Pelodiscus sinensis: one gene and its partners. The protein of the gene in region 1 purifies or fractionates together with the protein of each later gene. This does not show direct contact. Links are inferred from orthologs where the notes say so. Each region holds a gene or a part of one and is shown on either strand. Other genes may lie near its edges.

Region 1 (7,532 bases):
AAAAGCGCCAGTCTAGACAGGGATCTTTCGGAAAATAAAGCCTTTTCCGAAAGGTCCCTTATTCCTGATTTTAAGAGGAATAAGGGACCTTTCGGAAAAGGCTTTATTTTCCAAAAGATCCCGTCTAGACTGGCGCTTTTCTCCGGCAAAGCCCCGAGCCGGAAAAAAGCAGCAGCCATGTTTATACAAATGAAGCGGGGGATATTTAAATCCCCCGCTGCATTTGCAATTCCGACTTGTCTAATCTGCATCTCTTTTCTGGAAAAGGGGTGCAGTGTAGACACAGCCTTGGAGAGTCTATAAGTCAGTTTCTAGGCTGCTTTTTAACACGTGGTTTGACACGTACGATAATTTTTCTCATATACATGGTCACGAGGCTCCCCGTGTTTTATTAAAATTGGTTTATGAATATGAATATGCATAACTCAAAGGCATTTTCAGCAAAATGCATCATGTAACATTTTTAAAGTTATAATCTGCTAAATGTGTATCTTCTATTTCAGTGCATGTTTCATTCTTGTATGTGAAGTTAGAAATATGAAATGTAAACCTGTTTTATTAATGTAAGTCTTCTAGTGAAAACCATTAATGGTATTTAAAGAAACTTAATGGCCCAGCACTCAAGACAATGATCTGTAAATGAGTATGTTTTTACGTTTAAGTCCAAACTGTGGTAAGTCCTAGAAACCTGGTGCTGGAATCCATCTTGAATAAGGTATTTTTCCTTGGGGTGGGAAAATAAAACAAAGGGTTCCCACCCTGGGAAGTTTATACAAAAAAAAAAATCAGTCTTTTGTCATCAGATAGGGTTGGGGAGGCAATTTCAAAAGCTAAGAGGACACACAGGAAGAAACCTGAAAACAAAGTAGTGATGGAAAATCCATCAATTAGTTGATTAAACTAAATTTAACATCCACTAGTCAATAAGCAGGAAGCCGCAACGGGATCTGCAAGCAGGGAGTCAATTAGTCGATAAGCAGGAAGCCCACCCGGGAGCTAACCCCACTGCATCTCTGCCTTTTAAATGGAAAGGCTAAAGCGCAGGAGAGACCCAGCATGAGCCAGGACAGCTGATTCATGACTCATGCAGGATCCCCCTCCCTCCTTGCTGCACACCAGTCTTTTAAATGGATTAAGAGAGCTTGATGGCTCTTAATCCATTTAAAAGCTAAAACCAGGAGAAGGGACCCAGGGTTTTGGTCCTCTTTGTGGCTATGTTCCTGTGCTATCAAAGCCCTAAAGCTGAGTCCTCCCAGGGCTGAGCTGGTTCAACATCTTTGTTGCTCTGCTAGGGAGCTATGGCCCCAACTCTGCGCCTGGGCTGGGGGAGAGCTTTGGCCCAGCAGGGCACGATGGTGGAGAGCCCCAGAAGACAGATTGGCAGGCTAAGTGGCATGATCAGCATATCAGGTGACAGTCCCGAGGGGACCTCGCTGATATAACCTATCACATACATGTTAAATAGTCAGTTTCTTACTGTAAGTCCTGTATTAATATACAGAACAGCTAGGGTTACTGTGTCAAGTGCAGGTGGCACAGCTCCCTGAACTACTTCACCATCCTGAACTGCCATGAGAGCTGAATTGAGTTTCTCCATTTCCAAATTCTGTGGTCCATCCTCCAATGCTGTGTGGCACTCAAATACTGTGTAAAGGACATGGATCAAGTGTGTCCAATAATAATTTCCGCAATACTTATCCAATCCCCACTTTTCTTTTTATACTGTGTTCATCTCCATGCCTCCTGAGTCCCAACCCCTACTTTTGTATCAGTGCTACTCTCCTGCAAAGATCAGGACACCAATATTTTCACCAGGAGAAACACTTGTCTCCTGCTTCACATCGACATCAAACATCTTGAACAGCAATCTACGCACACACACACACACACACACACACACACCCCAAAATGTAAGCTGCACACACACACACACCCCAAAATGTAAGCTACACACACACACACACACCCCAAAATGTAAGCTACACACACACACACACACACACACACACACCCCAAAATGTAAGCTACACACACACACACACACACACACACACCCACCCCAAAATGTAAGCTGCCACTAAAAGGATCAGAGGTTACTCTATAAACTTGCAATTGGTACATCTGATACATCAGCCATATATTTTTAAAGCTGTCCACACATATGCTGGATGGGCCGGTGACCAGTTTGGGGGGGACAACGAGTCAAGACATGGGGAGGAAGGGAAGAGGAGGCAGAGCATGAGGGGACAGAGTAGTTAGGGTTTGGCTGGAGATCTATGTCATTTCAGGTGCATCCTCCTTAATCACCTGCCCTTCATTGTACATCTCGCTTTGAGACATCAGTGCAGTGCAGTGCAGTGCAGCGGGGGGGAGGGGGGGGATAAATCAACGGAAAGCAAGTTGAGGTGATCCGGGCAGAAAATGAAGGATTATTTGGCGGGTTGTTCCTGTGCTATCAATGCCCTAAAGCGGAGCCCTCCCAGGGCTGAGCTGGCTCAACATCCACCCAACTCCAAAGTTTCCTGGGGCGGGGGCGGGGGAGGGGGGGTCTGCAACGCTCGCAGGCTCCGCCAGAGCCACTGAGGAAGGCTGTGGGCAGAGTTAAGGGGGCCGCCTGGAAAAGTCACTAGCTGGGGGGCAGCCCGGGAAGGGGCCGACACCCGTGGCAAGGGGCTGGACGGACGCTGACCAGCAGAGCCCAGCCCCGGAGCCGCGGCGCGTTCGGAAGGAGAGCCCGGCCGGGGGGGGGGGGGGGTCCTCTACCCCGCTGGGCACGGCCGCCCCGCCCCCCCGCGGCGGGCCCGTCCCACACTCACCCGCCTCCTCATCCTTCTTATCGAACTTCTTCAGCATCCTGCCCTGCGCCGGGCGGGGGGCGCGCGGGGCCTGGAGGGCGGGGGCCGCACGAGCCGGGGGGGGGTCTCTATCCAGCACCTCCACTTCCGGCCTTGGCGCTGCTTCCTGCCAGCCTGTCACCGGGACAGCTCAGCCGGACAGCGCCGCGCACGCGCGTTGCGTGAGGGAGGTTGGTCGGGCTGACGTGGCTGCCTGGACCACCGCCCGCCCCAGGGGAGGAGGCGACAGCGCTGGGCGGGGCAGTGGCCGTGGGAGGCCCCGAGCCTGTGGGACAGTGGATGGGGGAGACGGGAGTGTCTGAGGGGCTGAAGAGCCTGCGGCGCAGCGACTGGGGGCAGGGCAGTGACTTGGGGGCACAGCTTGTAGGGAAGTGACGGGGCAGGGCAGTGATTTTGGGGCACAGCTTGTAGGGCAGCGACTGGGGGCAGGGCAGTGACTTGGGGGCACAGCTTGTAGGGCAGCGACTGGGGGCAGGGCAGTGACTGGGGGCACAGCTTGTAGGGCAGCGACTGGGGGCAGGGCAGTGACTGGGGGCACAGCTTGTAGGGCAGCGACTGGGGGCAGGGCAGTGACTGGGGGCACAGCTTGTAGGGCAGCGACTGGGGGCAGGGCAGTGACTGGGGGCACAGCTTGTAGGGCAGCGACTGGGGGCAGGGCAGTGACTTGGGGGCACAGCTTGTAGGGCAGCGACTGGGGGCAGGGCAGTGACTTGGGGGCACAGCTTGTAGGGCAGCGACTGGGGGCAGAGCAGTGACTTGGGGGCACAGCTTGTAGGGCAGCGACTGGGGGCAGGGCAGTGACTTGGGGGCACAGCTTGTAGGGCAGCGACTGGGGGCAGGGCAGTGACTTGGGGGCACAGCTTGTAGGGCAGCGACTGGGGGCAGGGCAGTGACTTGGGGGCACAGCTTGTAGGGCAGCGACTGGGGGCAGGGCAGTGACTTGGGGCACAGCTTGTAGGGCAGTGACGGGGCAGGGCAGTGACTTGGGGGCACAGCTTGTAGGGCAGCGACTGGGGGCAGGGCAGTGACTTGGGGGCACAGCTTGTAGGGCAGCGACTGGGGGCAGGGCAGTGACTTGGGGGCACAGCTTGTAGGGCAGCGACTGGGGGCAGGGCAGTGACTTGGGGGCACAGCTTGTAGGGCAGGGACTGGGGGCAGGGCAGTGACTTGGGGGCACAGCTTGTAGGGCAGCGACTGGGGGCAGGGCAGTGACTTGGGGGCACAGCTTGTAGGGCAGCGACTGGGGGCAGGGCAGTGACTTGGGGGCACAGCTTGTAGGGAAGCGACTGGGGGCAGGGCAGTGACTTGGGGGCACAGCTTGTAGGGCAGCGACTGGGGGCAGGGCAGTGACTTGGGGCACAGCTTGTAGGGCAGTGACTGGGGGCAGGGCAGTGACTTGGGGGCACAGCTTGTAGGGCAGTGACTGGGGGCACAGCTTGTAGGGCAGTGACTGGGGGCAGGGCAGTGACTTGGGGGCACAGCTTGTAGGGAAGCGACTGGGGGCAGGGCAGTGACTTGGGGCACAGCTTGTAGGGAAGCGACTGGGGGCAGGGCAGTGACTTGGGGCACAGCTTGTAGGGCAGCGACTGGGGGCAGGGCAGTGACTTGGGGCACAGCTTGTAGGGCAGTGACTGGGGGCAGGGCAGTGACTTGGGGCACAGCTTGTAGGGCAGCGACTGGGGGCACAGCTTGTAGGGCAGTGACTTGGGGCACAGCTTGTAGGGCAGTGACTGGGGGCAGGGCAGTGACTTGGGGGCACAGCTTGTAGGGCAGTGACTGGGGGCACAGCTTGTAGGGCAGTGACTGGGGGCAGGGCAGTGACTTGGGGGCACAGCTTGTAGGGCAGCGACTGGGGGCAGGGCAGTGACTTGGGGGCACAGCTTGTAGGGCAGCGACTGGGGGCAGGGCAGTGACTTGGGGGCACAGCTTGTAGGGAAGCGACTAGGGGCAGGGCAGTGACTTGGGGGCCCAGCTTGTAGGGCAGCGACTGGGGGCAGGGCAGTGACTTGGGGGCACAGCTTGTAGGGCAGCGACTGGGGGCAGGGTAGTGACTTGGGGCACAGCTTGTAGGGCAGCGACTGGGGGCAGGGTAGTGACTTGGGGCCACAGCTTGTAGGGCAGCGACTGGGGGCAGGGCAGTGACTTGGGGGCACAGCTTGTAGGGAAGCGACTGAGGGCAGGGTAGTGACTTGGGGGCACAGCTTGTAGGGAAGCGACTGGGGGCAGGGCAGTGACTTGGGGGCACAGCTTGTAGGGAAGTGACTGGGGGCAGGGCAGTGACTTGGGGGCACAGCTTGTAGGGCAGTGACGGGGCAGGGTAGTGACTTGGGGGCACAGCTTGTAGGGCAGCGACTGGGGGCAGGGCAGTGACTTGGGGGCACAGCTTGTAGGGCAGTGACGGGGCAGGGTAGTGACTTGGGGGCACAGCTTGTAGGGCAGTGACTGGGGGCAGGGTAGTGACTTGGGGGCACAGCTTGTAGGGCAGTGACTGGGGGCAGGGCAGTGACTGGGGGCACAGCTTGTAGGGCAGTGACTGGGGGCAGGGCAGTGACTTGGGGGCACAGCTTGTAGGGCAGCGACTGGGGGCAGGGCAGTGACTTGGGGGCACAGCTTGTAGGGCAGCGACTGGGGGTAGGGCAGTGACTTGGGGGCACAGCTTGTAGGGCAGCGACTGGGGGCAGGGCAGTGACTTGGGGGCACAGCTTGTAGGGAAGTGACTGGGGGCAGGGCAGTGACTTGGGGGCACAGCTTGTAGGGCAGTGACTGGGGGCAGGGTAGTGACTTGGGGCACAGCTTGTAGGGCAGTGACTTGGGGGCAAGGCAGTGACTTGGGGGCACAGCTTGTCGGGCAGTGACTTGGGGCACAGCTTGTCGGGCAGTGACTTGGGGGCACAGCTTGTAGGGCAGTGACTGGGGGCAGGGCAGTGACTTGGGGACACATTTTGTAGGGAAGTGACTGGGGGCAGGGCAGTGACTTGGGGGCACAGCTTGTAGGGAAGTGACCGGGGGCAGGGCAGTGACTTGGGGGCACAGCTTGTAGGGAAGTGACCGGGGGCAGGGCAGTGACTTGGGGGCACAGCTTGTAGGGGAGTGACCGGGGACAGGGTAGTGACTTGGGGGCACAGCTTGTAGGGCAGTGACTGGCGGGGGAGCAGTGCCTGGGGGAGCACAGCTTGTAGGGAAGTGACTGGGGGCAGGGTGGTGACTGGGGAAGGACACAGCCTGTGGAACGATAACCCATGAAGTTAACATTTCTCTGGACATAGGTTATTTCAAGTGTTGTGTGTGTTAATCTCCTGTTTCTCCATGCGGCCGGTTTGGGCCACAGGAACACTGTTTTCTGCTGAAGCTCAGTGCTGTAATTAAAGGGAGAATAACTTCTTTTAGATGTGGGATCTGGCAACACACACTAGATGAGGTCAGGCCACGGCATCCCTTCTGCACAGTGGTCTGCTCCACCAGACCCCTGTAGAATTAGGCAGCAAGGCTCAAAGTGGATGATATTTCCAGCCTATGGTGAAAGATGTGAGACACCTTTAAGGTGTATATTGAACCTACAGCTTTTGTGAAATGTTAAATCTAATCCTTTCTGCCATATCTACAGGGGACTATTGGAGAATGTATTAAAGAAAATCCAATGTGATTAATGAAGGGGCCTTGGTTCATGTTCTTTTCTGCAGTAATACACTGTGTGTTGTCTGTTGCCACATGTGAGCTATCACTGAGGTCAGAGTGGCTTTTGGGGTCATTTCTGCAGTCCTATTGTGCCCAGTTCCTATTTTCTTTCTGTAAGGGCCAGTGAGACACCCTGAGTACTCTTTACAATCATACTCTGTTCTGAAGCTTCAGGGAGTAACCGAGTTAGTCTGTTACAGAAAAAAACAACAAATGGTCTGGTAGCACTTTATAGACTTAACAAAATATGTAGATTCTCATGATACCGTCTACATGTTTTGTTAGTCTATAAAGTGCTACCAGACCATTTGTTGTTTTTATACTCTGTTCTGTTATTCCAGCTGTTGATGACACACAGTTGGATTTAAAGGCATCATTTCAGGAAATAACAGTTCCTCTCTGAATAAAGTTTGCATTCCCAATCAAGGTTTAAATGAGGAAAAATAAATGTTTCTCACTAGTGATATTAAATGGTTAACCAGTAAGTATACCAGTAAGCAAGAGACTTACTGATAATGCTTACTGGCTAACCAGCCCTTGCCAGTGATCACTGCCAGCAGCCTACCCTGCCAGGCCAGACTACTCCCAGCAGTGGAGGAGCTGGGCAGTGGGACTCCATGGCCACAGCAAGGCTTCTCAGCTGCAGCTGGACTGGAAGAACATGGCCAGAAAGCCCTGAATTAAAATGCTAACTGATTGAGTGCTAGTGTTTAACCAGTTAACTGTTTTAACTTCCCTTTTTCCCATGTTGAGGGTTTTTTTTTTTAATAATTACTTCTCTCAGGTTAAAAGGTGTAATCCAGTGCACGAACCACACCAAAGAAGTAAAGTATTTCTGCCCCACCACACACAATAAATCTAAGAGCGAGTAGACTGCCCAACAAAGACAATTGCAGCTGGTGCTACATCTGGAATATTTTAGCTAGGCACTTCAAACTGGAAATAAAGTGCACTTAAAAAAAGTGAAAGTAATTAACTATTTTAAAATGTATCTGGGGATGT
Region 2 (6,962 bases), on another chromosome or scaffold:
GACAGGACAATGTGGATATCTTTTCCAAACACTCCAAAGCAAAGAAAAGGCAGCATCAAGATGGTTAAGGGTACTGTGATAAGTCTGAAAGTCTGCTAAAGTTAAAAGCTCCATCAGAATTATGATAATGGACTACATCAATGTCAACTACCCATGTGATCTTGTGTCCCAATGAGCTCACCTGCTGGAACTTACTCATTTTGAGAAATGTGAAACTTTGAGCTTATGATGATGATAAGTGCAACAAAATATGCAGCAAGTGCTGAGAATTTTTACATGGCATCTAATACAAATGTTCTGCTCCCCCTACCCTATCTTGAGACCCATGTGAGACTTCATAGACAGCATAATCAAGTATTGTTGATTAGTGTATATAAAACAGGGTGCTAATATAAAACATTTCATAACTGCATAAAAATGCTTATAAAAATCAGACAAAAATACAAAAGCATCACAACAGTTAGTAAAAAAACTGCTCTTTTATTTTTACCATCCAATTATAAATCAATTGGAATACGTTTTGGTGCATCACATATAGTGCAGTATAAATAAGTCATTGTTCGTATGAAAATTTAGTTTGTACTGATATTGCTAGTGCTTTTTATGTATCATGTTGAAAAAGTAGGCAAATATTCGTATGAGTTGACTTTTCCTCTCCTGCATATCCCCCCAGGGTATTTGCACTCTGCTTGAGCCCCAATGCCCTAAACCATTCCCTAGAATTACAGAGCTGCATAACTGTTTTTCAGCAACTGCACATATTTTAGCACTCTCTGAAGACACAGGCTAAAACATATCAAGATTGCAAGGTAAATTTATAATTGCTTATAATAGGGATTTGAGGCTTACCAGTGGTGGAGCAGCTCCCTGCCTACTGCAGCCAGGGGACTACTCTAGCACAGCCCCTGCCTTTGGTGTGCACCCCACAGGCAAGGGCTGCTCCAATCAGGATGCCAGAACAGCCCCTGCCTGACATGTACCCTGGACCTCCACAAGCAGGGGATGTTCTGGCATCCCAGCCCATGCAGCCCCTGCCTGCAGTGGGAAGGCTACAGCCAGGGGCTGCTCTGACTGGACTGAAGCAGCCTCTGCCTGGGGAGGAGGAGGAAGGGAAGGGAAGGGGACATTCCACCCAGAGGCAGACAGGGGCCCCCCCACTCACCCCTCTTTAAATCGGTTAACTGGTTAAACAATATAATTAACCAGTTAAACAGGATTTTATATCTCCAGCTTACATCATCAGTTCAAAAACTGTCATTTTTCTAAGTAACTATTCCCTGATGAAAACTAGCGACAATATTAGTTCAAAATTTTAAAGCGCATGTTTTAGTTCACATTTTCCTATTTTTTATGAAAAAATGAAACACTTCAGATAGTAACTATACTTAGGGATGTCAACATGTAAATGACTACACGATTAACTGATAAACCAAGGCTTATTGGTTAATCCTGTTGACTACAGGCATTCTCTCCCCCTTGCTGCCTTTGTATCAGAGGCAGCAAGGGGGGGCAGGTGGGCACCGACTCCACGGATCCCTGCCCCTGCACTGCTAATTCCAGCAGCAGCACCGAGGGTGAAGGGGGCAAGCAGGATCCAAATACGCATATGGATTTGCCTGCCCCTCCTTTCTGCCTCCTACAGAGGCAACGGGGCATGGGGACGAGGACAGAAGCACTGGCTCTGTGGAGTCGCTTGCCCCCCACCCACCCTCCCTGTCCTGTCCTGTCCTGGCACATCCAGGCTTGCTGTGGACAGAGATTGCTCTGTGGGATGTGGAGCAGCATACAGGGTATACCGTCCCACGCTCCTGCCTCTGTTTTTAAGCCAGCTCCCCTTGCAGACCAACTCCCATCTGCCACCCCATACTGCTACTTCTGAGAGGCAGCAACACAGGATGGCAGGGGGCTCCCCATGAGTAGGGCCAGAGTGCACTGACTGCCAGCTCTGTCCCCAGGGACTATGTAATAGTCATGTAACTGCTAAATTTTGATGCAATCACATGACTTCAATTACACACTAACACTCCTAACTATAATATTCTCTATGTCAACATACCACAGAATGGCTATATATAAAAAAAAATACCATGGCCCCAAACCTGAAAATTCATATTGACTTAATTTTAAGCACGGGCCATTAACTTCAAAGCGAATACTCCTGCACAAAGTTATTCAAATGTTTGCAAGATGAGGAACTTAAATAGCACACAAAGTACTATTAAAAAGAATAGTAAACAAAGATTTACTTCATAACCTCTATTATAGCTACCTACAGCTACAACTTGTCATTGTCCTTGTGTGCACCGTAACGCCATGGATTTAACGATACTGCTACGTGATCACAACAAGCAGCACGTTTAAAACCCAGAAGTTACACACACACCAGCTGAGTGGGTCTTTGCTGAAACTCTCCACAATTTTACTTGACACGGAGAGTTTCAGCCCCAAGAGAACGACGCTTCCCAGCAGAGGTGAACTCGTAGCAAAGCTGCAGCCTCGGCCCCGGCCCGTGCGAGGCGCTGGGGCAGGCGGCGTGGGATCCTGCGGGCAGCCCGGGTAACTGCTGCGGGCCCACAGGGGCAAAACGAATCTCAGGACGGTTAAACCTCGCTGCCTCAGCAAGCCGGGGCGCGAGCAGACCTCGCAGGGCCCGGCTCCGTGGCGCGCTACCCCCTTGCGCGGGGGCCGCGCCGGTTACCCGCCCTCGCACCCGCGGCCAGGCGTTGGCCCGACTCCCCGGCAGAGCGGAGCGAGGCCGCCGGCTCCGGAAGGGGGCGGGGGCCGCTCTCCGACCACGGCCCGCAGCACGCCCCGAGCCCCTGGAAGCGCTGTACCTGCCTCCAGTGCTGCCCGCGGCGGGACCCCCGGAGCCCCGTCTCTGCCCGTTCGGCGGTGGCTGACGTGGAACCACTCCCCGCGACAGGCCACATCGGTACTACGGCGGCCGCAGCAGGACACGCCTCCTCCGCGCGCAGCAAGGCACAAAGTCGCCTGGTTCCGGTGCGTGTGTGTGGGGGGAGGGAGGGGGGAATACAGCCCCGCGCATGCGCGGCTCTCACACCACGTGACCGCGACCTCCAGCCGCGGTCTCCAGGCAGGCACTAGCTGAGCAGCCACGTCACTGCCCCCGGGTGTCCTCATCAGAGCGCGGGGGGCGTGGCTCCAACTCACACCAACGCTGCGACTCCGAGCGCCCGCCCCGAAGGCCCTGCTTAGGAGGGTACTGAGCATGCGCATCCGAACTGAGCAGGTTCCCTGGCACGTGCCCTTGCTTGCTCTTTAGAGAGTTTGCAAAGGGGCCACGTCGCAGCCGGTGGGTGAGCAGGGTCTGAGTAGGGGGCAGAAATGTACTTGTCTGGGGGGGATCATGCAGTGCTGGCCTTACCATGAGGCGAACTGAGGTGGCTGCCTCAAGTGCCAGACTGTGAGGGGGCACCACTAGGACCTAGAATGTAGAAAATTGTGTTTGCTGCTGATGCATGTGTATTCTGTCTGCAGTACCATGGGCAGAGTAGAGCAGGAAGAAGGCAGAATTGAGACCTTTCAAAGTTTTGGCCCAAGCGAGGGGGCATCGGGGCATCATTTGAGAGTCCTGCTTCAGGTCCCAAAATGTTGTGGGCAGGCCCTGGGATCAAGCAAGATATAGTGACAATGGACGAACTGGCCTGCCTGGGGAAGAAAAATCAGAAGGGGAGTCTTGGACCAGAGGATGTGAAGGGCAGTCTTGAACCCATGGCAAATAGCAGAGGCTGATAGATGGGGATCTTGGCTGACAGAATTTGCTAAGTAAGCAAAAAGAGGATGTCTGGTGGTACCTACTACTGATAGAAAAATTGATCGGTCACCAATTGTGTCACCACAGCTGCCCCATTGCAGCACTGCTGGGCTTGACTGTAGCCCCAGCCACTTCATCTGGGCAGTGACTTCCCTTCCCTATGGCTGTTCCCCTCCCTGCCCCAGGAGTTGCATCACTCACTGCATCGCTCCCCTCTCACTGCATCGCTCCTGCTCCATGCCCAGAGCTGTGAGGCTGTAGCAGAGGAGCGAGCCCTGTGCCTGAGCCAGGCTGGCACTACAGTTGCCAGCTGGTTTTGGAAAAAATACTGAACCAAAAAAAGGCCCCTGAGAGTTGTTAAGCAAAAAACAAAAAAACAGAGTGTGGCCCCTTTAAGAAATGCATGGTGAGGCTTTTTGGCCTTAACAGGCTGATGGTGGCCGCTCACCATCTTGCCTCCCTGTGTCAGGCTGAACAGTTCACCTGCAGAATCCGGTAAGCACCTCTCTGTATTAAGCTGGATAGCCTGGGATTTTCGCCTCCTAGCCGGGAAAAAAATCAGAAAGTACAGGACATTTCAGGTGTCCGGTATTTTCTGGATTTTTTTACCGGACAGGAGGCGAAAATACTGAACTGTTCGGTTCAGTACCAGACACCTGGCAACCCTAGCTGGGACCTAGTTGTCCAAGCTGGCCTAGGAATGTCCCTCCCTTTGTCCAGCCCCGCTCACTGTTTCCAATGATTTCAGTACATCTGTGCTCCACTCCCACCCCCAGCTCAAAAGACAGTCTTGGGTCAGAGCAGCCAGAGAGGGGAAGTCCCAGAGATGAGGCTAAGGAACGAGGAGCGTGAAACACGTGCATTGCACCAATTGCCTGACATAGGACAGTCCACTGGGGGCTGAACTAGGAGGACAAAGTGGGAAATAGATCCTCCAGTCTTTCCTTGCCAGTCTTCCTCAGAGTTAAGGTAAAATTGCTCTCTGCCTTACCACAGGGTCTGTCTGTGCCGAGGACTTCGCCAGCAGGTTCCCCAGCCTGGCATTCAGGTTCAGACTCTGCAAAGCAAAGGAGAGCTATGGGTCAGAGTTCGGGAAACTTGGGTTACACCTGCCACAGGATGTGGGTCTCTATAAAGTACTGGCCTGGCTCATTCAGATCCCAATGCAGGCAATTAACAAGGGTTCAGGGCAGGGTGCCAGCTGGCTCCTCAATCCATGACCTTAGGAGGAATCTGTGGAGGGCCTCGTAGGTAACAAAGTAGGGAAGACCCAAGCTGCTATGGATGGCACCTAGGCAAAACATAGCCTGCTATGTAAGGAAGGAAGGAAGAAGTCCTCCTGGGAGGGTAACATGATGCCCCTCGAGGGAAGGATCCAACACTGCATCTTCTTCCATCTCTGCACACCAACCCCTAGCTCTGGAGCTCCAGCCAATCAAGGGAGCAGGGACCAAAGGTCACTTCTGATCCTGGCAGGGAGGAGCTGAAGATCTCTCTCCCCTTAGGAGGTGTCCTGCCTGAGGTGAAGACGGCATGCAGGGCAGCTCTCAGGAAGTACATCTCCAGCTCTGGCTCCAGGGCAGGATTTATGATGCTGGCAAGAGAGAGGTGTTGATACTAGACTGCAGTGCAGGAGTGGGACTGGCACCAACCTGGATGTGAAACCACAGGGAACAGGCCCAGGCAGGCAAAAATGGAAACTGAGGCACTGACACAGGGGATGTGAAGGCTTCCCAGACAGACAATGGCCTGACTCTGCTGTTCTCCTGTATCTGACCTGGGAGGGATCCTCTCCTCAAGAACCCCATAGCATTATTGGAGCAAAAAGAAGAGTTCAGGCAGAAAACAAGGAACCTTCCTGCCCCTTCTGCTGGAGAAACCATGCTTGGGAGGGAGCCTCAGAGTGGGAGGGGCAGCACCGTGGTTAGGGAGCCAGTTGCGAAGGGCTTAGTACCTGAGCCTGCTCACAGTAGTGAGGGAGTTGGTAAGGATAGCGCCTGACAGCTCCTCAATAAGTCCCTGTGAGGCAAAGGAATAGGAGATTCAGGCTCCACTGACACTTCCCCATGAGGCGATTACACAGTCAGTGCCCAGCACACCCAGCAGGATCCCCCCACCCGCCTCTCTGATTCCAGCCTGCCCAACATACTCGGACCACTCCCAGGAGTCCTGCCCAGCTTGTTCCATTTATCTCCTTCCCTCCTTCCTGTCAAAACTACCCTAACACACACCATCCTGGCTCCCAGCCTGGGCCCATCTGATTCCTTGCCCTAGACTCAGCTGGCCTGACAGCCACTCCAGTCCACACTGCCCTCTCGCAACCAATCTCAGGCTTTCTCCTCTCTCTCTCCTCCCCAGTTCTTAGTCCCAGCAATCCCTGTCCCCCCCTTCTCCCACCACCACCCTGCCTCCATCCATTGGTCCGGGGAAGCCTCGGCTCATCCCAGCTCCCTCCAGCTGCTGGGCACTGCCCTCTCATGCCACAATGACTCCAAGCTATCTCTCTTGAGTAGCTGTAACTAAATGAGTCCCCATCATATTGTATGTATAGTTGGGATTATTTTTTCCAATGTGCATTACTTCACATTTATCAACATGAAATTTAATTTGCCATTTTGTTGCCCAGTCATTTACTTTGGTGAGATCTTTTTGAAGCTCTTCACAGTCTGCTTTGGTCTTAACTATCTTGAGACTTTTGATATCATGTGCAAATTTTGCCATGTCACCATTTACCCCTTTCTCTAGTGATAGAAATGTAGCCGTGTTAGTCTGGTGTAGCTAAAACAAAATACAGGACGATGTAGCACTTTAAAGACTAACAAGATGGTTTATTAGATGATGAGCTTTCGTGGGCCAGACCCACTTCCTCAAATCAAATAGTGGAAGAAAATAGTCACAACCATATATACCAAAGGATACAATTAAAAAAATGTGTTCATTTTATATCCTTTGGTATATATGGTTGTGACTATTTTCTTCCACTATTTGATCTGAGGAAGTGGGTCTGGCCCACGAAAGCTCATCATTTAATAAACCATCTTGTTAGTCTTTAAAGTGCTACATAGTCCTGTATTTTGTTTCCCTTTCTCTAGATCATTTATAAATAAGTTGAATAGGATTGGTCCCAGGATAGACCCTTAGGGAACCCCACTAGCTACTTCTCTTCACTCTGAAAACTTACCATTTA
Region 3 (7,066 bases), on another chromosome or scaffold:
ATAAGAGCAGGAAAGGAACCACTGGACTTTTTGCAGGAAGGGCACAGGAGTTAGTGACAGCATAAAGCCAGGAGCTGAATTGTAGTCAGAGTGCAGGGAAATATGGTGAGGGATGGTGATGCAGGGACACACAGCAACAGGTTCCTGTATAAATGGGGAAGGGTAGGGGTCTGCATGGGGGGAGGCTCCCTAACTCCCTAATAATCTCTTCCTATCCCCCAAAGTACCATACTTCTCCCTCCTACATCCAACTGCCCTCCAAGTTCACACTCAGACTCCTTTCCACTACTTCCATCTCTCTCAGCTTCTCTGTTCCTCCTGTTCCCCCAAGTCTTTGCACTGGCTTCTGAGGAGTGCAGAAAATACATGTCTATTTTGTAATTTAAATTAATTATTACTCAAAGTTCTGTATTAATATTCCTAGTAAGTAATTTGACGAATATTTCCTGGATTTTTTTGTTCTCTATATTGCTAGACATACTTGCTCATAGGTATTTTGAAATAATTACCAAAATAATTGAATCTGACATGATTATATTGTATCATTTGAACAAATAAAATATGCAGAACTTTAAAATATTGGGTGCAGAATGTTTAGTTTTTTATTCAACATTCCCCCAGAAGTATTAAGAACACAAAAATATAAGAACATAAGAATGGCCATACTGGGTCAGACTAAAGGTCCATCTAGCCCAGTTTCCTGTCAGCCAGTAGTGGCCAATGCCACATACCCCAGAGGGAGAGAACACAACAGATAATCTGCACATGAGCCTTCTCCTGTTACCCATTTCCAGGCAAACAGAGACTAGGGACATCATTCCTACCCATCCTGGCTAATAGCGATTGATGGACCTAACCTCCATGAATCTATTAAGCTCTTTTTTGAACCCTGTTAAAGTCCTGGCCTTCACCACATCCTCTGGCAAGGAATTCCACAAGTTGACTGTGTGCTGAGTGAAGAAAAAGTTCCTTTTGTTTGTTTTAAACCTGCTGCCTATTAATTTTATTTGGTGACCCCCTAGTTCTTATATTGTGGGAATAAGTACCTTTTCCTTATTCACTTTTTCCACAGCAGTCATGATTTTATAGACTTCTATCATATCCCCTCTTGGAGTGTATCAACACTGCATGGCTAAACTTGAAATAAGCTATGCATGTTGAGTTACATCAATTGCGTATCTTATTTCAAAATAGCTTATTTTGAAATAGGGAAAGTCCTCACAGCATTTATTTGGAAATAGTGCACTCTTTCTCCGACTTCCCTTACTCCTCGTACAATGAGGGTTGCAGAAATCAGAGTAAGAAGTCCTCCAGCTTAACAGTATTTTGACATTATTTCGAAATAACTGCCTGCTGTGTAGATGCGGACTAAGTTATTTAGTAACAGAGCTGGTTATTTCGAAATAGTGTTACAGTGTAGATGTACCCTTAGTCTCCTTTTTTCTAAGCTGAAAAGTCCAAGTCTTTTTAATCTCTTTTCAAATGGGACATGTTCCAAGCCTCTAATCATTTGTGTTGCCCTTTTCTGAACCTTTTCCAATATATTTTTTGAGCTGAGGCGACCACATCTGTATGCAGTATTCAAGATATGAGTACCATGATTTTATATGGAGGCAATAAGATGTTCTCTGTCTCATTCTCTATCCCTGGTTTTATGATTCCTAACATTCTATTTGCAGTTTTGACTATTAATGATTCCAAGATCTCTCTCTTGAGTAGTTGTAGCCAGATTAGTCCCCATCATATTGTATTCCATGGAATCCTACACTCACTCATCTGGCAGGGGAGATATTATGGCTATAAGGTAGTTTTCCCTTTGTGAGGCTATTGCACTCCAGTTGTGGTGACTCCTACCATATCTCCAATTATGGGAAATATGACTACATAAGTTGAGTGTGGTGGAAACTCCGAGGTTAGGGGAGAGTAGGAGGATGGGCAATCCAACAACCACCAGCTGCTTCCGACTCACTATTTAAGTCTTCTTCCCTCTCTGTGCAAGATCTTAAGTTCCCCAAAGATAAAAACAAATCTCGTGTATGCTCATATGCTCCTTAGAACACTCTTCCACTTCTTTCTCCAACACTGATGTTTTTGGTTAGCTCTCTTTCTTCAGTTTCTCCTGCTCTCATGACTTATAAGCATTTCAAGGTTTACAATACTATATATCAGCTCTCCTGAATTGTGAATTGGCCTGGGTTTTTATTGTCCTTCTAGTTTCTGATGTATTCGAGAAACATATGCATAACTTATTAATTCTATTTGACATTATACTACTATGAAAACTGCTGTATTGGCAATATCCTTCTGTGTACCCTCTATGAGCTGATGGGGTTGTCAAATCTCTGCAATACCAAGAACAATGATGAGTCATTGTTACAGCTTGACAACTGATCAAAATGGTTAGAGTAAGAAGGGTATGAGAGTTGGGAAACCAGGAGGCTGGGGGTTTGGAGCAGTGGAAAGTTACCAAGACAACCAAAGTGACAAGTGACTAAGAAGCAGGGTAGATAAAAATCAACAAATTAAAAAAAAGAAGAAATCAGATATTTTTATTTAATCAGATTTTTTGACAATTTTTTTTGAGGAAAAATGTATCTAAAGATAGTTTCATTTACATTATAGCTCAAAGATATATCAACATGGAATAGGGATTATAAATTCTAATTTTATACAATGAAACAATATATTAATGTAGGCTACGTCTACACTGGCATGATCTTGCACAAAAACTCTTTTGCGGAAGAGTTCTTCTGCAAAAACTCTTCCAGAAGAGAGCATCTACACTGGTATGTGCTTTTGCGCAAGAGATGCAAGAAAGTTCTGATGGCCATTTTAACCATAGGGCTTTCTTGCGCAAGAAATTCATGTTGCCTATCTACACTGGCCTCTTGCGCAAGAACAGTTGCGCAAAAGGGCTTATTCCTGAGTGGGAACATCAGAGTTCTGGGGCAAGAAGCCCTGATTTCATACATTAGACCGTCAGTTTACTTGCGCAAGAATACACGGCCAATGTAAACAGGCAGAAAGTTTTTGCGCAAGAGCGGCCGCTTTTGCACAAGATCGCGCCAGTGTAGACACAGCCCTAGTGTTTAAGAAAAGTTTTGTAAATGAATTCCAATAGTTCATGGATTATGGACCCAATCTTATGGGATTCCAGAAGGTTCTGTATAGATTATTTAGGTTAATCTTTCAGTGTACCCAATAAGACTCAGTGCTCAGTCCAGAAGATACCATCAGAGATGCTTAGTTTTGCAGTTCTTAAACTGTGGATCTGTGTCTCCAGAGTTAACATTGATTCATAATAGCTATTCCCTCCGTCCCTCTTCCTCACCCCACCTTCTGTACTAAATCTGATGTCAGTTTAATAATGTGTTTGCTTTTTCATTGTATTCCTTTGGTATATATGGTCATGCCAATTCTCTTCCAGAATATGATCTGAGGAAGTGGATCTGGCCCACAAAAGCTCATCACCTATTAAACCATCTTGTTAGTCTTTAAAGTGCTGCATAGTTTTTCCTTTTGTTTTTGCAAGATCAGATTAACAGGGCTGCCTCTCTATTATATTCTGGAGCACCTGGCATTATTGGCCACTGCTGGCAGACCGGATGCTTGGCTAGATGGACCTTTGGTCTGACCCAATGGCCCTTTGCCCCTCATCTTGCCCTAGGCTAATGTCCAGAGAACTGCGGGGAGCATCAGTGCGAGGCTCTGCGCTTGGGCGGGGGTCACGGCCACGAAGTGAACAGTCCCCTGCCGGCGGCTCGATGCCCCCGCTTCTGTAACTGGGATGAAGAAGGGACGCTTTGGAGACCCCCGCATAGAAACTACAATTCCCAGCATGCGCCGCGGCGCACCTGCCCACGGCCGCTGGTCTCACTTCGCTGTGCAATGACTACGTGTCCCAGGATGCATTACGGCACATATGGACTGCAATTCAATCAGGCAGGCCCCGCTCCTAAGGCTTGATGACAGCACCTCTGAGGGAAGCTGGTGCCGTGGCCTACTTTGGTCTCCGTTGGTCCTGAACCGTGGGGACAGGAAGTCTCGTCCTCGCGATGTTTCAGATGCGGAAGCGCTTGTGTACGGCGTTCTCGCTTTTATCCCTTATCTCGCGAGACCTGTAGGGCCGGAAGCTCCACGTAGTTCAACTGAGTTGGAGTCGGAGAGCGACGTCTCAGCTGCTGCCGGGTTGGGGGCGGAGGAGCCATGGTGAGTCCGCGGCGGGGGGCGAGGGGAGCTGCCCGCGGGGTGTCTAGAGCTGATCCCTCGCCGGGGGGCTGTCGGGGGCCGGGGCGCTCCCGCTCCTGCAGGCCGGCGCTGTCCCCGAGGCCGCGGGCCGGGCTTCAGGGTTCAGAACGCGCGCCCCGGGGTTGCTCAGCGATGTCCCAGGAGGTGCATCAGCCCAGCCCATCTCGCTATTGGGCTGGTTTTGCAGCAGGTTGCGTGAAAGGCCGAAGGGAGCCAGTACAATTAGCGCTGTCAAGCGATTAAACGTTGGGTGTTAGTGACGGGTAAGGCCATTTGTTTAGTTGGCATGTTTGCTACTTTCTGCACGTTTGCAAATATGACTTCTGTTACAAAATAGAATAGAAAAGTGCTCACTTTATTTTTATTACATGATTTTGCTCTGTTAAAAAAATATTTATTCAGTTCCCATTAAGTGTTGTAGTGCAATCTCTTGATCATGAAAGTTGAATTTATCATGAAATTAGAATAATGTACAAAAAAACTGCATTCAAAAATAAACTAATGTAGAGCTACTCCAGTGGTGGGCAGTAATTTTTGTAGGAGTACCACTTCACCATTGTTGGTAGTGGCTGCAGGCCAGGTCCAGGGGGCGGGGCCTTAGATGGAAGAAATGGGCCTTGGGTGGAAGAGGTACTTTAGGCACTGCCTGCGGGTGAGGGGAGGAAGGCTGTGTATGCTCCTTAATGGGTTGTGGGATTGAACAATGTCTACTGTCCCCAACCAGCTGGGGTGCACAGCACCTAAAAGAAACCATCAGCTGTTTTGAACAGCTGGTGTTTCCTCTGGCGCTGCACGCCCTGGTGGGGGAGGAAATGTCACGTGCTTTCCCGCCCTCCAGGTCTGATTAGCATGTGTGGAGTGGTGGGGCAGGGTGAGCTATGGGCTGGATTAATGGCTGGGTGGGCTGAATCTGGCCTGTCCTCCTTCATGTTCAGCAAATCACTCAAACTTGTTCATTTACACTTCCAGGGATAATTTTACCTGTTAACATGTCACCTGAAAGTGAGACCACATGTTTACTTTCTACTTTTGATACCTGTTCTTCCCTTGTCAGATATATATAGTAGCCCAGTGTCTGTAACGATGACGTACATGGCCCCGCCCCAGCCATGTACATCACCTCCCTGCCCCCATTCCTCTCCTGCTGTGGTGTTCGACTGAGTGCTGTGCCACTCAGCTGGCCCGCGGCGGGGGATCAAGCAGCGGCAAGCGGCCGTTTGGGGTCCGTGCTCCCCATGCAGCATCGCTTGCTCCCCTGCCGCTGCCCAGCTCCGTGGCGTAGCACTCAGCCGAGTGCCACGGTGGGAGGGGAAAGAGGTGGGTGGTGACATACACGGCCAGGGGGCGGAGCCGTGTACGTCACCGAACCGACCCCCTTCCTCTCCAGCTGTGGCGCTCGGCTGAGTGCTGCGTGCTCAGTCGAGCCACCGTGGGAAAGCCCAAATGGCCGCTTGCACCGCTGGCTCCCCCACAGCAGCCTGGCTGAGCATGCAGCACTCAGTTGAGTGCCACGGTGGGAGGGGAAAGGGGGGGCGGGGCGGTGATGTACACGGCCCCGCCCCCTGGCCGTGTACGTCACTGCCTGACCTCCTCCCCGCCCCCCCCCCCCCCATGGTGTCCCAGCTGAGTGGGCAGCACTCAGCCAAACACCACGGCGGGAAGGGAAGGGGAGCGGGGAGAGAGGCAGGAGAAGAGAAAAGGGAGAGTGAGAGGCAGGAGGGGAGAAGAGAAAGAAAGAGACAGAGGCAGGAGGCGGAGGAGAGCTGAGAGAGAGAGGGGGAGGCAGTAGGAGGAGGGGAGAGAGACCAAGAGAGACAGAGACCGGAGGCTCAGGGGAGAAGACCAAAGCGGAGGAGAGACCTGAAAATCCCATCTGATGACAGGCTAATTGGCTAGTAATTAAGAAGTGGGTAGCATTATCTCCATTAAATATAAACAAATGTGTATGTCTTAAGAGTTGGCTGAATAAGCAATGGAACTGAATGTATTTGTAGGTGCTAAAGTTTTACACTGTTTATTTTTGAGTGCAGTTTTGTAACAAAAAAAATTATAAGTTGTGCTTTCACAATATAGAGACTACTAAAGTGATTTTTATGTAGTGAATTGAAAAATACTATTAGTGCAAATATATTAATTGAATTATAAGATGAGCACTGTACTCTGCATTTTGTGTTGTAACTGAAGTCAATGTCATTGAAGACCTCCAAAAATACTTAATTTCATTTTGGATGCTGTTCTTAACTGAGTGGTCAAAACTGCAATTAATTGACAGCCCTAGTACAACTTAAAATTTCATACAGATGATGACTTGTTTGTACTCTTCTACATACTAAATTAGCATGTTTCAACTGAGGAATTATTATTTATTTTATAGTTCTACTAGAAGACTTACCTGTCATTCCTCAGGTCCTTCAGAGTAGGGGAGTTGAGGTGTAAGGGGTGCAGGAATCAGAGCAGGGAGTTGGGAGATGTGAGCAGGCCCAGGGGAGGGGGTAGAGGCATCTGGTGGCTGCTCCCCAGGGATAATTGAGCTGTGCTGCCAGCCAACAGCTGCTCCCCGGAGCTGGGGTGCTTACTTATCCCCTTCTGGTCACTAGTAAGTATAACTCTCGCTATCACACCTCCTCACTTTGTGTTTCACAAACAGTCGCATTCCATGCACATCCCATTGTCTTGGCACAATAAAACCCTGTCCTTGCTTTAAGTTTTGATGAAAGGAAGCTGCAAACAAATTGTGGTGATTCTAGCTTTTACTATTTAGGAGGAATTCTTGAACAAATTGATTCATAGATGGACACGCAGAATCAGGGTATAATGG
Region 4 (7,488 bases), on another chromosome or scaffold:
ATATTTAATTATAGAAAGCCAGAGAGCATTCAGAGCTCATTCATCTTCATTACAGCTGCACTCAGGAGACCTGATATCCACCAGAGATAATGATCCCATTTACACACTCATTCAGCTTCCACAATCAGTCGCATTATCCAGTATGAAACTGCAAACAAGAGAAATTATTGTGTTCCAGTCACGTGGGACAGAAATCCAAATCTCAGACATACTGGAAGGATAATTCAGAGGTAAAACTAAGAATGAAATTCTGGAAAAAAACAAACAAACCCTTAGAAGATGGCAAAATTCAAGAAAAGGAGGATTGGACAATCAGACAAAAGGCTCTACTGAATGTACCTGAATAGCAGAAGTGAAGCTGAAGAGGAGGAGTTGGATCCCTGAGGGACACTTAATAGTAACTACAACAATGTAAGAAAAAAAAAGTACTAAGTGTGCTTTGATTGGGGTGATAGAGGCAGCAGAGTGGGGGGGAACTCCCTCCACCCTCTTTTAGTCTTGTTAATCCTAGCTTTCTAGGACAACTCAAATAATAAGGGGGCACCGAGAGCCATAAGTGGGTTTGGGTTCTTAATCCAGCACCCAATGTGCTGAGATTACTGCTGTTCCAACAAAGAGAAAAGCAAATGCTACTTTTCACTAAGTTAATATTGTTTTCATGGGTGCACAAGAGGGAAGGATCTGAAAGCTGTGTACCTTTAAGAAGGCATCAATGTCTCCAACAGCTGGAATAAAATCTGGAATGAAAGGCTGCAGTTTGTGTTCAAGCTCTATCATTTGTGGAGTGTACCTGAGAATAACACAAGCAAAGTATCATCCAGGAAAATAGTATTTCTTTCTGTAACCATTTCAACCACCCGAAGGACATTCCAACACAGACTCCTTATACTCACCTCCTTATATACTGGAAGAGCTCTTTAATCTCTGCAGACACTGGTAGATACTCATAATCTGCAGGGTTGTAGGCACTATAGAAAAGAGATATTCAAGACCAACAGATTCTGGAAGATTAACTTAATGGAGAACTTGTATCTGATCCCCTAGGGGTGTGTTAAAAGAGGAGAGGGCCTTGAATGCTTTCCTTAGCCTAGTATACCCATACTGGGGGCTGGATCTGGCTACAGAACAAATTTACAGATGAGATCAAAAGAATCCAGAGTTTGACATCTTTAAGAAATGCTTCAAATTCTTCCTCTTTGAAGATGTTTCCACCATAAGAACACCACTCACAACACCGATTACCCCCTTTCTTGATTGGAGTTTTAATTAATAATATCATAGTGATGGGCAGCAAACCAGACTCTCAACAAACTTATATTACAATACAATGTAATGATAAAACAATTACTTCCCTTGAGGCAGGCTAGCCTGCATGCTAGACATCTGTACTCTCTTTCAGACAATTGCATTCTGTCTTTGTCCAGCACAATGCTTTGAGTATATTAATGGGTCCACTAATATCCCTGCCTTCTGTTACTGCTAGTTTATCATACTAAGTCTGAGTTTTTGCCAGGCTACCTGGCTACGCTCTATGCTACCTCAAAATGTTCATGAGCAGGTATTTGTAGGCAGGAAACTTAACAGGCATACTTGAAATTAAGAATTCTCCCTGTGTCAATGAACACTTCAGAATCTTGCTTAGGAATCCAAGTTTTAAGTTTTCTAAGAACAATTCTATCTATGAACAATGCATCTTTACTGATGCATGTCAAATCCCAGTGACACTCGTCCTGTCCACACGGTCAATGGCATTCCCTCTACCCTACCCTCCCCCCTTAATATAGCTATATCGTTGTATCTTCATTTTTCAGGGCTGATACTCTGAAAACTTACTGTGCCATTGCATCTGTATATTATCTGTCTCAGCTTTTAAACCCCTTATCCCACACTGTCTAATCTAAAGACACATCTGCACAGTACTGTCAGAATATAACATTACTCATTTGGCCTGTTAGGATGGAACAGGTCTCTCTCATAAGGGAGATCTTGACTTTAATTCCAGTGGTTCCTCTAACTGTTCTTATAAATTGAGAGTCCTTCATACCCCTCCAAAGGGGCTCCATGCTCCTCTTCATCATCGTCATCGTCCGAGTCAGTTTCAGACGAATCATCCTCATCCTCTCCATCCTCGTTCTCACTAAATCCTCGCTGTGGGGCCAGTTGAGCTACCTTCTTTTCCTAGGTCATGTTAAAACCAAAGTTATGGTGCAACAGACGTTCCCAACAGCCCCATTTCCCAGCTCTGCCATTTTTCATTCTAAACAGAAAAACACCCTCTGTTCAAAGTTTGCCACATACGGGTGGCACTGCTGTGTGAAAAAGAAACTTCCTTGGGTGGTATGGAAAAGGAATGCCAGCACAGACAATTAATCTAGGGTTACTACTGCTCTTAGTCTGACCCAAATGCATGGGTTTCAGCAATGGGGCGGGGGGGGAGGAATATTTAGTTCTAACAAACAAGAATTTATCTTTTTTAGAGAATCTCAAAATGGTTTATAAACAGTACTCAGCCCTTTCCAAGGCAGTAAGTACTATGATCCCACTTTACAGCCAGAGAAACTGAAATAGATAGGAGAAAACTGGCTCACGCAAAGCCACACAACTGATTAGTACAGAGCTGGACATAGAACTCAGGAGTCCTGACCTATAGTCAGTGTATGTTCTCTAAACTGTAAAAAACACTCCCTACGTTTCCAGCCAAACGTGGGTGTAAGCTATTGATCTCTGACAACCCTCTTTTTATCCCACTTCAGCCACTGAACAACAGTGGGCCTGGTAAAAGCAACAAGGAGTCCTGTAGCACCTTATAGACTAACAGATGTATTGGAGCATAAGCTTTTGTGGGCAAAGACCCACTTCGTCAGTGGGCCTGGTATTCATTATATCCACACTGGATGGTATCAGCTACCATGATGTGAAAATTCCCTTCTAGACCGATTCTCCCAAATTCATATACATTGTTCCATCTGTTTTACTTGAAGAAAAAAGAAATCTGACCCCCTCCTTACCTTCTATTTCTAGTACAAATAATGTGTCTTGCCAAAAAGTACTGCAATTACATTTCTTTCTACTCAAAATGGGTCTTAAAAATAATCACAAAACATTAAGAAATTTCCCCAGTAGGACTCAACATACAGATAACAAGTCCCAGGTAGATGGGGGCTACAAAATGCTGTGATCAACTACATCAGCAAAGAAGAACATGGACAACCTCATACCTTGTTTATTTCTTCATCATACTCATCACTGCTGTTATCAGCCATGTTTTTGAGCTGTGAGCATGTGGACCTAGGACCTGCTGAAGAGATCATCAAGAAGGTTTCTGTATATATGCTACCCAAGCTTGGTTGTGAGATTGCAGCTTGGATTATCACATTGAGGCACCTATCTACACAGGCCCTACACTGAAGTTCTAACAGTCATGTTTACTCAATTGCAGCATGAGGCTGAACTAGACTAGACTGCAGCTGGGCTAGCCACGGTGGAAAAGCCCAAATCCCTATTCCACCAACCACGTGCACGCCTAGGTTTGTGACAATTGTCCTTACCGCATCTAGTCTCTCAAGCTTCTTTTTCACCCCCAGGGAACACCTTTGGTATTTAAAACGCGTGTTCTGCTTTACCCCCACAGCACCGTGCGTCCAGCGAATCCCAACGAGCCTGCTCCCCTCCAGTTTTGAGGAACTGAGTTTTCATCCCCTGGGGGAGGCTAAGACGCTGTAGCAGCGAGGCTCAAGCTGCCCGTCGGCATTTAGGGCGGGAGCGGAGGCGGCGGCGGCGGCGGCGAGGGAGGGAGGGAGCGGAGGCGGCGGCCCTACCTCGCTGCCGTGGAGTTGGGGTGTAGACACTGGCCACCTCTTCGGAGTCGTTGATCTCCAGGCTCTCGTCGTAGGGCTGGTTTTCCACTATTTTGGTCTAGTGACAAAGACAAGCGCGTCCGGGTCACTGTCGCTGCCGACTGCAAAGCGCCGGGAGCGGCCTGGGGCTGCCCGGCGGGTGCTCGGGCCTTTCGGGACCCAGAGCACCCGGGCAGCGCCGCCCCCTGCTACGGTTTCAACCCCCGCCCCCAGTCACCTGCAGGGCCTCCGCCATGTCCCGGCTTTCAGGGCCCTGCCCGAGGCCGGGCCTCCATCACCCCCTGTGTCCCGTCACCCTGGAAACTGGCTCTCGCGAGAGTTGCCGCCCCAGCTCTACGGCGGCCGGATCGAGTCACGTCCATGCGTCTCCTCTCCTGTGGAAAGGGGAGGGCGTCGCGCAGCGGCCCCTAGCGGCCGGGCCGCGTCACTGCAAGGAAAGAATGACAGGTGCGCGGGGCTGTCGGAGCGCGGGCTGGAACGCGCAGTCTGGGGGGGGGTGTTTCTGCTTCTCACCTGCGTGCGGGCCCCGCCCCTGCTCGCGCGCGCATGGGCCTCCCCAGCAAGGGGCGGGGTCTCCGGGGCTCAGAGCACCGCACCCACGCGGCGCGGCGGGCGGGGGAGGAGCGAGGTGCTCCCGCCCCCGTGCGTGGCGGCGCTTCCGGCTGGGGACGTGGCTCGGCGCCGCCATCTTGTGGGGCCGCGGGAGGGAGACGCGGCGGCCGCTGCTGAGGCCGCGGGAGACTGAGCGCGCCGGGCCGCAGTCACGCTCCGCCGCCATGGTAAGCGCCGGGCCGCGCTCCCGCCCGGCCTCTTCGTGCCCCTGCCTGGCGCCTTGCCGCGGCGGCCGCTCGCCCCAGGCCTCGGGCCGCCCGCCGGCGTGTGGCTCTCGGGGCCTCGCGTGGGCCTGCCCCGCTGTGGGGGCCTCTCCGCGGGCAGCCGGCGATGCCGGTTCCGGGCAGGTCCCGGGCCTGGCCTGGGACACCTCTGCCGCCCTGCCAAGCGGCCAGCCCCCTGCGGCGGAGAGAGGCTTGTGGCACCTCGCCGCTCCCGGGCTTGGTCACACGGCCGTGTGGACGGGTCTGAGTCTAACCTGACCGCTGGACATGGGCTGGGTAGATCCATGTGTAAGATCACAGCAGTACACACAGTTGGCTAAAACCTGTCTACAAACGTGTGAGAATACTGTAGTTCAACGTACTTTATTGCTAATGGTATTAACGTGCATAACCCTGTTGTGCAGATATTATCTTAAGTTTACGTTGGCAAAACTTGAGGTGCACAGCAGTTAAGTGGTCTTCCCGAAAATTACATGAATCAATAATATATCTGGGAAAATAATCCAGTTGTCCTCATGATCTTGTGACCTCAGACCTTGTGACCCTGCATTTGTGGGGGGTTTTAAATCTAGTCCAAGTACATTTACTTTGCTTGTCCAGTTGAAAGAGCCTTACTTTCAGAGATTGATTACTTCACACTGTCTGAATATCAGGTTCCTTTAAGTCATGTCAAGTGGGCATGAAAAATTGCTTACTAATCCTACAGTTTAATATTGGTCCAGAGTTTGTATAAACAGGTCAATACATCTATATGATCTATATATCAGCTTGGAACGATACAAATATATACATATATATAGCTTCATGTAGGGGATTTAAACGTGTATCAGTTGTATTCTGTTTTTTATGAACTCACATTGTAGCTCTTTGTATTGCAAAGAGGCTAGATTGGCTCCTAATTGCAGTAAATTACATTTGACTCTTTGTAGTAACAGGCTTGTACCCAACTTCAAGCATGTGGTTTTTGTGGCCAAGGATAGTATAATTTGCTTACATTTCTTGATAAATTAGTAAATGAGTGTTAAACAGCTTCATACCCTGTTAGAGGTGGAGAAACAACTTTGATTAGAGAAAAGACCTGTTAAATGATATAGAGGAAAATGTTACACATCATAGAGCTGGAAGAGACCTTAGGAGGTCATCAAGGCCAGCCCCCTGCTTTAGGCAGGACCAATCCCCACTATATCAACCCAGCCAGGGCTTTGTCAAGCTGAGACTTAAAAACCTCCATGGATGGAGATTCCACCACCTCCCTAGGTAACCCATTCCAGTGCTTCACCACCCTCCTAGTCAAACAGTTTTTCCTAATATCCAACCTAGACCTTTCACACTGTCATGACAGTATAGCAAGCAAAGTGCAGTGTGGGATAATTTGCACACAAGGACAGATTAATTTAAAAGAGCATGTACCTTTTGGGGTTGTTCCTTTGAATAATTGTTCTTCTTTCCAGCTAGTTTTGTGGTCTTTGAATTTACTGGGATAAATATTTGAACTGTGTTTTAAAAAAAAAAAGAGAGATAATTTGACTCTTTTCTTAGTAAGCATAATGCATCAAAATCAAGTGCTATATAACTTTGTTTCAGTTTCAGATTTGTACATAATATCAAATTCTTTCTATTCAAATATCCTGTGGTGTTTGAGGATTAGTTTGATATAATTCTTAACTATTCACATTTCACAGCTCCTTTAATGAGGAATTGCTTTGCTATAACCTTTTATTACTGGGAGAATATGTAATTTAATTTAGTGAGGCTAAGAACAATGTACATAAGAATGGCCATACTGGGTCAGACCATAGAGACCAGTCTTGTGTCTTCCAACAGTGGCCAATGTCAGGTGCCACAGAGGGAATGAACGGAAGAGGCAATCATCAAGTGAAAACCCTCCTCTTTCACCCATTCCCAGTCTCTGACAAACAGAGACTAGGGACACCATTCCTACCATCCTGGCTAATAAGCATTGATGGACTTACCCTTCATGAATTTATATAGCTTTTTTTAATCCCTGGTAAAGTCCTGGTCTTCACAACCTCCTCTGGCAAGGAGTTTCACAGGTTGACCATGTGTTGCCTGAAGAAATACTGTCTTTTTTGTTTTAAACCTCTTGGCCTTTAAAACAAATTCCAAACCAAGAATACCTAATTTAATTTTTGTCCCCTGTGAAAAAGAATCAAAATATTTGCAATGCAGCATAAGATATTAAGTATCTTTAACATGGCGTATCTCTTGCTTTCCCAAGGTAGTCTCAAGAAATTATGGCAGGTTGAAAATTCTTACTTTTTTAATGTGGGGTGTTTGTAATGTGCTCTCCCCACCCAGAAAGTACTATCTCCTAAGTAACAAAATTGTGAATTAATAAATGGAGCCAACCTTTTAAAACCTAGTTAAATATTGAGGTGTTAGACTTGCAATGTTAGTTAAATCTAATCAAATAAATCCGAACAATTAAATCTGATGTTTGTTTATATATTTGTTTTTAAGTTACAAGATATGCAAGCTGCCATATGCAATTGTTCAGCATAGCTGTACAAAGAGTGAGGACTTTCTTGAAATTCTTGATCTAGTGACCTTAGATTGTGCAGATCACTGGGACATTTTATATGTTAAAACAGTATTTTTATACTCTAGATCCTTGCAAAGTGGAGACTAAGGATGTGTTAACTTTTCTGAGTCTCCCGTATTGACGCACTAATCAGTACTAACAGGCCAATGTCCAAAGCCTGAAAAAAGTCCACTGTGACTGAACAGTGGAATATGCTCAAACCTGACATACATGCTTTTGGGTTGTCAGTGAC

What was found.
Region 2: the proteins of COPG1 (region 1) and COPB1 fractionate together in Homo sapiens (co-fractionation; 11 studies listed by BioGRID and IntAct, counting the BioPlex papers as one, with this or other methods). This does not show direct contact. The link is inferred for Pelodiscus sinensis from reciprocal best matches to the Homo sapiens genes COPG1 and COPB1.
Region 3: the proteins of COPG1 (region 1) and COPB2 purify together in Homo sapiens (co-immunoprecipitation; 8 studies listed by BioGRID and IntAct, counting the BioPlex papers as one, with this or other methods). This does not show direct contact. The link is inferred for Pelodiscus sinensis from reciprocal best matches to the Homo sapiens genes COPG1 and COPB2.
Region 4: the proteins of COPG1 (region 1) and ARCN1 purify together in Homo sapiens (affinity purification with mass spectrometry; 6 studies listed by BioGRID and IntAct, counting the BioPlex papers as one, with this or other methods). This does not show direct contact. The link is inferred for Pelodiscus sinensis from reciprocal best matches to the Homo sapiens genes COPG1 and ARCN1.

Annotation. Positions count from the first base shown.
Region 1 is NC_134721.1:25,627,743-25,635,274, forward strand, and holds the start of COPG1 (coatomer subunit gamma-1), read right to left. Parts: upstream 3,005-7,532; 5' UTR 2,854-3,004; coding exon 2,817-2,853; intron 1-2,816. UniProt on the Homo sapiens protein: The coatomer is a cytosolic protein complex that binds to dilysine motifs and reversibly associates with Golgi non-clathrin-coated vesicles, which further mediate biosynthetic protein transport from the ER, via the Golgi up to the trans Golgi network.
Region 2 is NC_134714.1:109,062,071-109,069,032, forward strand, and holds the start of COPB1 (coatomer subunit beta), read right to left. Parts: upstream 3,011-6,962; 5' UTR 2,839-3,010; exon of another isoform or gene 2,835-2,838; intron 1-2,834. UniProt on the Homo sapiens protein: The coatomer is a cytosolic protein complex that binds to dilysine motifs and reversibly associates with Golgi non-clathrin-coated vesicles, which further mediate biosynthetic protein transport from the ER, via the Golgi up to the trans Golgi network.
Region 3 is NC_134720.1:11,280,735-11,287,800, reverse strand, and holds the start of COPB2 (coatomer subunit beta'), read left to right. Parts: upstream 1-4,054; 5' UTR 4,055-4,206; coding exon 4,207-4,209; intron 4,210-7,066. UniProt on the Homo sapiens protein: The coatomer is a cytosolic protein complex that binds to dilysine motifs and reversibly associates with Golgi non-clathrin-coated vesicles, which further mediate biosynthetic protein transport from the ER, via the Golgi up to the trans Golgi network.
Region 4 is NC_134736.1:861,751-869,238, reverse strand, and holds the start of ARCN1 (coatomer subunit delta), read left to right. Parts: upstream 1-4,479; 5' UTR 4,480-4,633; coding exon 4,634-4,636; intron 4,637-7,488. Other genes in the region: IFT46 (intraflagellar transport protein 46 homolog), read right to left, coding at 697-790, 894-968, 2,045-2,178, 3,219-3,298, 3,819-3,915, 4,075-4,092. UniProt on the Homo sapiens protein: Component of the coatomer, a cytosolic protein complex that binds to dilysine motifs and reversibly associates with Golgi non-clathrin-coated vesicles, which further mediate biosynthetic protein transport from the ER, via the Golgi up to the trans Golgi network.